Linked DNA regions of Arabidopsis thaliana. The protein of the gene in region 2 interacts with the protein of the main gene of each other region in a pairwise test. Each region holds a gene or a part of one and is shown on either strand. Other genes may lie near its edges.

What was found.
Region 1: the proteins of APX1 (region 2) and AT4G19360 interact in a two-hybrid assay, tested with the Arabidopsis thaliana proteins (one large-scale study listed by BioGRID).

What each region holds. Positions count from the first base shown.
Region 1 is NC_003075.7:10,562,242-10,565,921, reverse strand, and holds AT4G19360 (SCD6 protein-like protein), read right to left. Parts: upstream 1,764-3,680; coding exon 1,583-1,763; intron 1,488-1,582; coding exon 1,387-1,487; intron 1,298-1,386; coding exon 941-1,297; exon of another isoform or gene 875-940; intron 784-874; coding exon 688-783; intron 588-687; coding exon 516-587; downstream 1-515. Other genes in the region: EMB3006 (embryo defective 3006), read left to right, coding at 2,246-2,353, 2,641-2,709, 2,815-2,844, 2,976-3,008, 3,098-3,168, 3,297-3,378, 3,475-3,567, 3,652-3,680.
Region 2 is NC_003070.9:2,435,213-2,440,352, reverse strand, and holds APX1 (ascorbate peroxidase 1), read right to left. Parts: upstream 3,073-5,140; 5' UTR 2,798-3,072; exon of another isoform or gene 2,361-2,797; 5' UTR 2,349-2,360; coding exon 2,230-2,348; intron 2,143-2,229; coding exon 1,968-2,142; intron 1,863-1,967; coding exon 1,797-1,862; intron 1,645-1,796; coding exon 1,510-1,644; intron 1,419-1,509; coding exon 1,339-1,418; intron 1,266-1,338; coding exon 1,163-1,265; intron 1,076-1,162; coding exon 1,017-1,075; coding exon of another isoform or gene 1,004-1,016; exon of another isoform or gene 934-1,003; coding exon 918-933; 3' UTR 688-917; downstream 1-687. Other genes in the region: AT1G07885 (uncharacterized protein), read left to right, coding at 3,526-3,690; ATMPK13 (Protein kinase superfamily protein), read left to right, coding at 4,641-4,783, 4,865-4,994, 5,064-5,140.

The DNA.
Region 1 (3,680 bases), on a different chromosome or scaffold from region 2:
CCAAGACTTACCAAGTCAACTATACTTGACCCATTTAAGTCAAAACTCAAAGGGAATAGAGAAGAATTAAACATGGAACTAGAAAAACAGTAAAGACTGTTACATATGTTGGAAGATTTAACTTATCAGTGGTTGTAACAAATAGAAAAGAAAAAAAGAAAGAAACAACATTCTTTCAAAAATCCTAAATAAAAAAGGTAAGTTCATGATACCAAAAGACACATGATTCTTAATGATATGTGCCACAAAAGATATCGACTCAAAACAAATGTTTAAACCCCAAAAGCAGAGATTCACAGGTCAGTAAGGCATATAGTATCCACTACAGAAATATGTTGGTGGTAGTTGTAATTGAAGTCTCATTTGTATGTAATTTCCAAATACCTGAAATATGAAGATATTAAAATTATCAATAAAATTGGATATACGTAATCTTTCAATGAATAACTAGAGGTAAAAGCTGTGAAACAAACCTTGGTATCTCTCACAGGTCTCGCGATAGGGCCAAGCGGATTTCAAGGTCTCCCAATAGGCTCAAACGGAGTGCGCGAGATCTTGTAAGAAGATCCATCAATGTTATAAGTAGGCTGCAAAAAAACAAAAAAACAAAACACATATGTTGGAACTTGAACATCTGACTTCAAAGCATCGGATCTCTATTAAACTAAGCTAGAGATATAAGGTCACCTTTGAACTCTCTTCTTCCTTGGTTTGGGAAGGACCCCATATGTTGTACTGCTTAGCGTTCTTAGTCATTGCCTCAAAATCATATCTTACAGAATTCTACAACCAAAAGACAAGTAATTAGTTATGGGATGGTGCTTAAGGAATACAAAACAAAGATCAGAAACATATAGAGAATGTATGAGATTACCAGCTGAATAGAGATCGGCGCAGGCGGAAACGTGGCAAAAAAACTTTGACTTGCAGCAGACGTTACCTTGAAGGCAGATGAGTCATGCATAATATTCGTCCATATAGGAGCTTGACTAAGTTCAGCATAAGGCATAGACTGGTAAACATAAGGGTCATAGAAGTATGAAGGAAACTGTGGTTGAGAAGCAATGGGAAATCTATCATTGACTGATCCATTAACTGAGAAAGCATTCGACTCTGTCTTAGCTTGCGGTTGAATGAGATTTTCATTCGAGATCAATGGAAATTGTTGGAGTATCTTATCGTCGGATCGATTGTTTGGTGAGACAATTATAGGAAGCGGTGGGTTTGGGGCAAGACAAGATTTACTACATGTAGATCCTCTTGCTAAACCCCAAGTAGGAGGCTGAACTATTATTTCCTGTAAAAGAAAAATATCAACAGATTAATAATCAAATCTCTAATGGTGGTTCGTGATTATTATACGTAAATAAAAACAATTTAACTAACCTTAATGTTATTTCCGTTGAAAAGAATGTAATTCTGAATTTTAGTATCCGGAGGAATTTGAACTCCGTTTTGGTTCCTTCCTTCTGTTCCATAACATACCACTGCCACAAACAAAAAAACCTAGTTAGAAAAGCTTGCACAACAAGAAAAGAACAAATCAAAGTTTCTTAGAGGTTTTGGAATCGAAATAAAGTACCGTTTTGAAGACCTAGAGTCGACTCTTGGAGATTGAGAAAACAGAGTATGCCTTCGTAACGTATATCGAAGTTAGCAATCAGAGTGACGAAACTTCCTATGTACGCTTCGACGGGAATTTGTGGAGGAAGAAAAGATGGTGGTGACAATGAAGAAGGATGCTGAGAAGTCACAGTTTTCATGATTATTATTCTTCAGCCGAAGAAATTAACCAAAAATTTGAAGAAGAAGAGAGGATTTAGTCGATTAGGGTTTTTTGATCTCTCTCGCTCTCCCTCTCTCTGGTTTTGCAGTATTGTTCGATTTGAAATATTGCCTTAAAATTTCGTTCTAAGCTGGTTTAATTTATAGGAAAGAGAAATGTTAATTGGCGCAAAAAGAAAAAAAAATGTTAATTGGCGCAAAAAGAAAAAAAATGTTAATTGGCGCAAAAGAAAAAAGGAAAAAGTAATGGGCCGTGAATTACTACTACTATGCCTGTCTTGTGTCTGAATCTAAAATCTTATGGGTTTTAACTGGGCCTATATAACTGGGCCTTCCCGGGATATTTTCTATTTTCCGTCCTTGATCTCTCTGTCAACTTGTACATTTGTTTTTAACCAGTTAGCAACTTCTTCTTCCGGAATCTTTAAACCAACAAAAAAAAGTTATCATTCGGGTTAAGATGGAGAAACCGGGTCATGAAACGGATATTGCGGGTTCAAGACGAACCCATCTGAAGAAATCATTCAAATCCACTCTTCGACATCTTCTCACTGCTTGCTCCAAACAGGTATATGCTTCAATGTCATAATCATTTTCCATTGTTTTTTTTTTTTTTTAAATCGCAATTTGGGTTTTGTTCTGTCTGATTTAGGTAAAATTGAAGTTTTAGGGTTTAAGTGTTCTCGATGATTGGATCCTGAGTTAATTAGAATTGAATTTGGTTTTTGATTTTGTTTCTGGTTTGAGAACTGTCTATCTATCTATAGCAGTGTCTTGTTGATTTTGTTTCGGGTTTATGTGTAGTGTACTAACTAACTAATAGTAACCCTTTTTATGTGAACCATCACTATGTAGGATTTTGTTGATATTTTCTCGAAATTCAGTGGGGCTGAGCAAGAACTGCTTTTTCAGTTGTATACTCGGGTATGTATCTCTCTTTATCATTCTCTTTCGATCCATTGGTTTTATGTTACATGAATCAAGGAGAAGCCTTTCTCATGTATCTTTCTTTCTCTGACATGTTTCTAGGTTGTTGTGAATTTGCATCAGACAATAGAGGTAGTAACCCTTTGCTCTGAAATTTTCTCAAGTTGTTGTTTTTATTCTAAAACATGAATTTTTGTGATTTTTTGGCTATTCATAGTGTGATGAATTGTAAACTCTTAGTTATGTTTTCATCATTGTTACAGGAAGAGTTTGATGAACAATGTCACGAAACTCAGGTACATCTTATTTGCTTTGTCATCCACACACTTGTGAAGTAAGAGATTTTTTCAAAATTCTTCTGACTGAAACGCTTTCCCCTTTGCAGGTCGGACCAATTCTTGATACAGTCGAGGAGCTGGTCGAAGAACAGAGTTTGGATCCCTTGTTTTCTGATAAGTATGTCTCATGCATATTGGTTAATCCATTTTGTTTACTATTGTCCATTTATGGTATTGGCCTCAATTGTAAGTCAAGTCCCCACATTTTGGAATTCTGATATTACTGTCACCATGACTCCATCTCAGGACTGATGTAATGGCAATAGCATATGATCTTACAACATCTAAGAAGAACGAGATACAAAAGTTAACAGTTTTGCTCCAAAGGGTAAGTAAGCTCAAAAAGAAGGCACAAGAAACTAGTCATTTGCTTATGTTGCCATTTCTTAAAAATAATTTCTTCTCGTGTTCATCCACTTTCCAGGCTGAAGAACAGAATCGCCAGAAGGAAGCCCGGATCAGCATGCTCAAAAAACAAACACAAGATCTCTCAGGCACAGCGGACAGAATCGAAAAGGTATTATAACTTCTTTAATTCTCAGAATCTTAAACCCAGTTATTCTTCGTTTCAATCGTCCTCAAAATGTCAAACGTTTTGCAGCTGAATGCCGGGGTCTCCGGCTACTTTGA
Region 2 (5,140 bases):
CCACTCTTCCCTTCTCTCTACTCGTCGCTCCAATCTCATCTTTTCTAAAACCTGATTACGACATAGACCACTCAAGATTCAAGAGGGTCCTAATTGCAGATTCGGTTCAATTCAAGATAAAAATAAGAGACGTTTCCATCGACAACATAAAAATAGAAAAAAAAACGGTTTTAGAGAAGCGCATAGGCAAGATCCTTCACCTAGAAAAGGAGTGCTGAATGACAATCATTTGAATAACACTTGACTTCAAGCTCTTTACTCCCTCGGCCGTGATCAAAGCAGCAAACACTTTGGTAATCATAGTGGTGACATTATAAGCCAGAGCCATCCGTCTCAGCTCACGCCGGTCTTTGATCTAAAGCATCGTCTGATCAACATCGATGGAATCCGCCTATTCGGGCACCACATCATTACATGCTGTTGCATGTGGTGATAGAATCACTTTGGATTGGTTTATGGGTATGGAACTAAAATTCGGTAAGTGAACTGGTCTAGATTGGTTTTGGAACAATGTCAGGTTTACCATTGATCTCGTAGTACATAGTCAAATCATGTTATACTAATACTTCTACTTCTGATTAAAGATTTGGCTGTTTATCACTTTATATAGGCAATTAGCCACTGTATCTTCAAACTCTTAATCCAAGTTCTACTGTTATTAGAGACTAAGCAGATATGAATGGATTTGAGGCATAAATATCGAGAGAAATTAATTTTATTAATGTGTCTAAGCAGCAAAAGCGCAACGGATGTGTTCAAATCGCAACCCACCGAAAAAAACAGATACGTAAATCCGAGAGTACATTAAGCAATCATATGACAAAGTTCAAATGCAATGCGACCCCTCCAGCCCCCAACCAAAAACAGCCATGACTCTCGGGGAGACACACACACACACACAGAGCATACGTCACAGCTTAAGCATCAGCAAACCTGCAACCAACAGATACAAACTCAAATCACACCACTGAATTAATATTTACTTTCTAAATGATTCATAGATTCAGGATAAGTACCCAAGCTCAGAAAGCTTCATGTGGGCCTCAGCGTAATCAGCGAAAAAGGCATCTTCATCCTGTTCACATTGTCACAAGAAACCATGAGTTCTCTTCTCTCTCTCTCTACCAAGTGAAAAACAGAAAAAAGGGAATGAAAGACATACAGCAGCGTATTTCTCGACCAAAGGACGGAAAACAGGGTCGTCCAATAGTGCTTTGTCAGAGACAAGCTGAAGAAGGCCTTCCTTCTCTCCGCTCAAGAGTTCCCTGCCCATATATAATTTGATTAGTAACCATATAAGCCACTGAATCCTCCTACAAGGGAACTTGGGATACTCACTTGAAGTAAGAGTTGTCGAAGATTAGAGGGTTTGATGTCCATGCACCTTCGAAGCCAGACCTATCCTTGTGGCATCGTCCCTGCGATATCATATTTTGCTAGCACTCATCAGAATTTGTAAGCTTGGAGCAAACAAATTTTAAAGTTTTAAGCAGTTGGAGAGAAACGAACCAGAGTGTGGGCACCAGATAAAGCGACAATGTCTTTGTCAGATAAGCCCATCTGCTTAGCAAAGACATCTCTCAAATGGTCACAACCCTTGGTAGCATCAGGAAGACGACCCTCTGGAGGTGGTTGGGGCTTGTCCTGAAATCAAGATATGCATTTTAGAAACAGAAAATCAAGTCCCACAATTATCAATCAGCCATCTCTACAAAGAAAGCAGAACACGTTCTCTCGACCAAATTGAGTATATGATAACCTTAGAGACGGCAAACAAATCTACAGCAATGACTAACCTCTCTTCCAGGGTGGAAAGGAATGTCAGGGCCACCAGTAACTTCAACGGCCACAACACCAGCAAGCTGAATGATCAATTTCACACCACAAGGATATCTAGAGTTAGAATCCAAACCTTACAGTTATCACCGTTAACCAAATAGTGCTTTTTAAAATTTAAAACCATGTACCTGATGGAAATCAGCAAAAGAGATGGTAGGGAATTGCTCCCTGATGGGGTCCAACAACCTAAGAGCAATGTGGATACCACTGTTGGCTCCATGAGCTTGCTCAGCGTCAAACCTCATTGTTCCGAATGGACCTCCAGTCCTTGATTGACAATCGAAAGTTCCAGCAGAGTGCCATCTGCAGTTTAGCCAGACAGATCAGCCATGAGAAAGTTCATAATCCTACATACTTCAAAACCACAAGCAAATATGGTTAGTTACTTACGCGAGTCGGACCATGATGGGTGCACAGTTCTTCTCAGCGATCAAACCTCTGAGCTTCCTCCTGCACTTCTCAACAGCCTTCTTGTAATCTTCGCTCACGGTTGGGTAGTTCTTCGTCATCTTAGCTAAGCTCTGGAACAAATACACAGATATATATACATGAGCCTCACTACTAAATAAACGCACAGATCAAATCCAAAACTCACGAAATCCAACTATACATAACAAGCTGAGAATCATAAACAACAACAGCCTCTAAAACAGCTTCATACGAGTGGAAAAAAAAAAAACCTAAATCAAGCAGGAGTGAGCTACAGAAGCCAAATCTCTCAAAAACTTTCACAGATTCGTAAGATTAGCCTAGAAACTCAGCAATATCGAACCACAGAACAGAAACGAGAGAGCTGACGATAATAACGCCGATCGCAGCAACGAATCGTGGATCTACTACGAAAAACACATCATTAAGCACAGATCAAGCCAAGCATAACAATGATCCGATCGAGTCAAGATGAAAATGGAAGCAGCAACGACGGATCAGAGAGGGAGAGAGAGAGTTTCCGTCATACCTTGTTTCGAGGAAGGATAATAAAATCTGGAGAAATGCGAGTGGCTGGCACGAGTAAGACACGAGTACTACTTTTTATGAGAGCGTTGAGGAGAAGAAATGCGAAATATATAGAGTCATGAATGAGAACGTTCTGGTAGATCTGTAGATGCCGTTAGATGACGGATATCGTGTGGTCAAATTTGCCAATATAATTGACGATCATGATTAAACGCACGGCTTTAAAATGGACGTTCGGATCTTAGGGTTGGTGGTATATAGATGGGAAAAGAATAATCCTTCAATATTATTAGGAAATAATTGGCAATATGCAATTGGAGGATACATGCTTCGTGTGGAGGGCCCACTAACTTTGGGGAAATTATCAAAAAGGGCGTTGATGTTGAATTTTCTTCAGTAAATTGACGAAATTAGGCATCAGAGGACTTTTATTGCGAACACGTTGGGCAGTGGTATTTCCGTGATTTCATCTGTCGCAGGTGTGAACGCGTCTCACGCAGACGAAGATCCCAATTGGACTAAGGATATGATAAAGTCACAGCAGCAGTGTTATTAGGTTTCTCACCCATCGCTCCTTGATTGGTGGGTCATAAACCAATGCGGTTTAGACCTAGCAATGCACGGTTTGGTTAATTGTCCACATTTATTAAGTCTGCGATTCGGAATTTTGAATCGGTTATTAGAATAGGTAACAACGAATGTCCTCTGTTTCATGGGGAACAAATTTTCATGCCCACCTACTTTTGCTTGGCTTGTCGAAAGATTCGAGAACCGGTGTTGTTTGATAGGAATCTACTCGACGGAAGTCGTGTTTTCTCTCTACTCATGTTATTAACGCAAGCCAGAAAAGAAGATAAGCCAGTTACTGCAGCAAAACAAGTGAGCCGTATATAATATAGTTCAATGACAAGTCTGAGTTAGTTAGTAGTAACAGACGTCTGCTGTGCTGGTCCTTCCCAAGTGTATGTATCTGTTTTCTTGATTCCTCAATTCTATTGTGTGGCCTACTTTTCTTCTTCTTTAATATCTCATGAAATTCTTGTGTTACTACTGATTTCTGCAGACATGGTCTTATACTCTTATAGGGTAGTTGTTTTTGGTTAAGGTTTGGATCATAATTGCGGAGAATGCAAAAGCAATGTGAGAGCCTTTTCATGAGAGAATTTGCATTGTTTCTTAGTATTTTGACTCATAAAATGCTGAAGCTAATTTGAAATATTCAGTGATATGTTTTTGTGGTTCCTGAGCCTTATATCTTAGCTTCAGCTACATCTACATAATTATCAGGTTTGATCACCTTCTCTGATCCTTAATATGTAAGAAGATATAAGATGGGAGAATTGGATCGATAATGCAGGTTTGTGAGATAGTGAAAATGAGTTCAGAGGTGTTTTACTTTCACACAGGTTCTGTTTACTTAGCACACAAGAGAGAGTTTTGACATTGAAATGAGACTTGAGAATAATCTCGCTTTTGTATGTTTACCACTTTGCTTTTTACTTACTATTGGTTCCTAGGGACCTATTGATCCACAATGAGATAGCTTTTTCTATAGTATACTTCTCTTTTGTTTCTTTTGAATTTTTCTTTAATGATGCAGAAGTCAAGTTTTAACCTTGTAATAATAATTCTCATTCAAATTTCGAAGTTCAACGGATCAAATAAAAAAGTTTGTCTTCATTTGGCCCACCAAAAGCAAAAGGTGCCACCATTTTCTCTCCTCTTACTCACTGCTTTGCCTTTTTAACGGCAACAACAGCTACTTGAGAAACAGTCTTTTAAAACTTGCTTCCTTTTTTAATCTTAAAACCTGTCTTGATCCGAGTTCTTCTTCCAAAGAAGAGATGGAGAAAAGGGAAGATGGAGGGATCTTGACATATGATGGTAGATATGTTATGTACAATGTACTCGGTAACATTTTCGAGCTATCTTCAAAATACATCCCTCCTATTGAACCCATCGGCCGAGGTGCTTATGGTATTGTCTGGTAAGTCTTTATCACTTTCAATAAAAAAACATACCATTCTTGAATACAATCTTAATCTCAAATCCTTTTTTATGATTACAGCTGTGCTACAAACTCAGAGACAAATGAAGAGGTTGCTATAAAGAAGATAGCAAACGCGTTTGACAACAGAGTTGATGCTAAAAGAACTCTCCGAGAGATCAAGCTCCTTTCCCACATGGATCATGACAATGTAATCTCTTCTTCTTCACTTTGATGAACACTCATATAGTTGGCTTATTACGTTCATATTGCTACACAGGTTATCAAAATTAAAGATATAATTGAGCTACCAGAGAAAGAAAGGTTCGAAGATGTATATATTGTTTATGAGTTGAT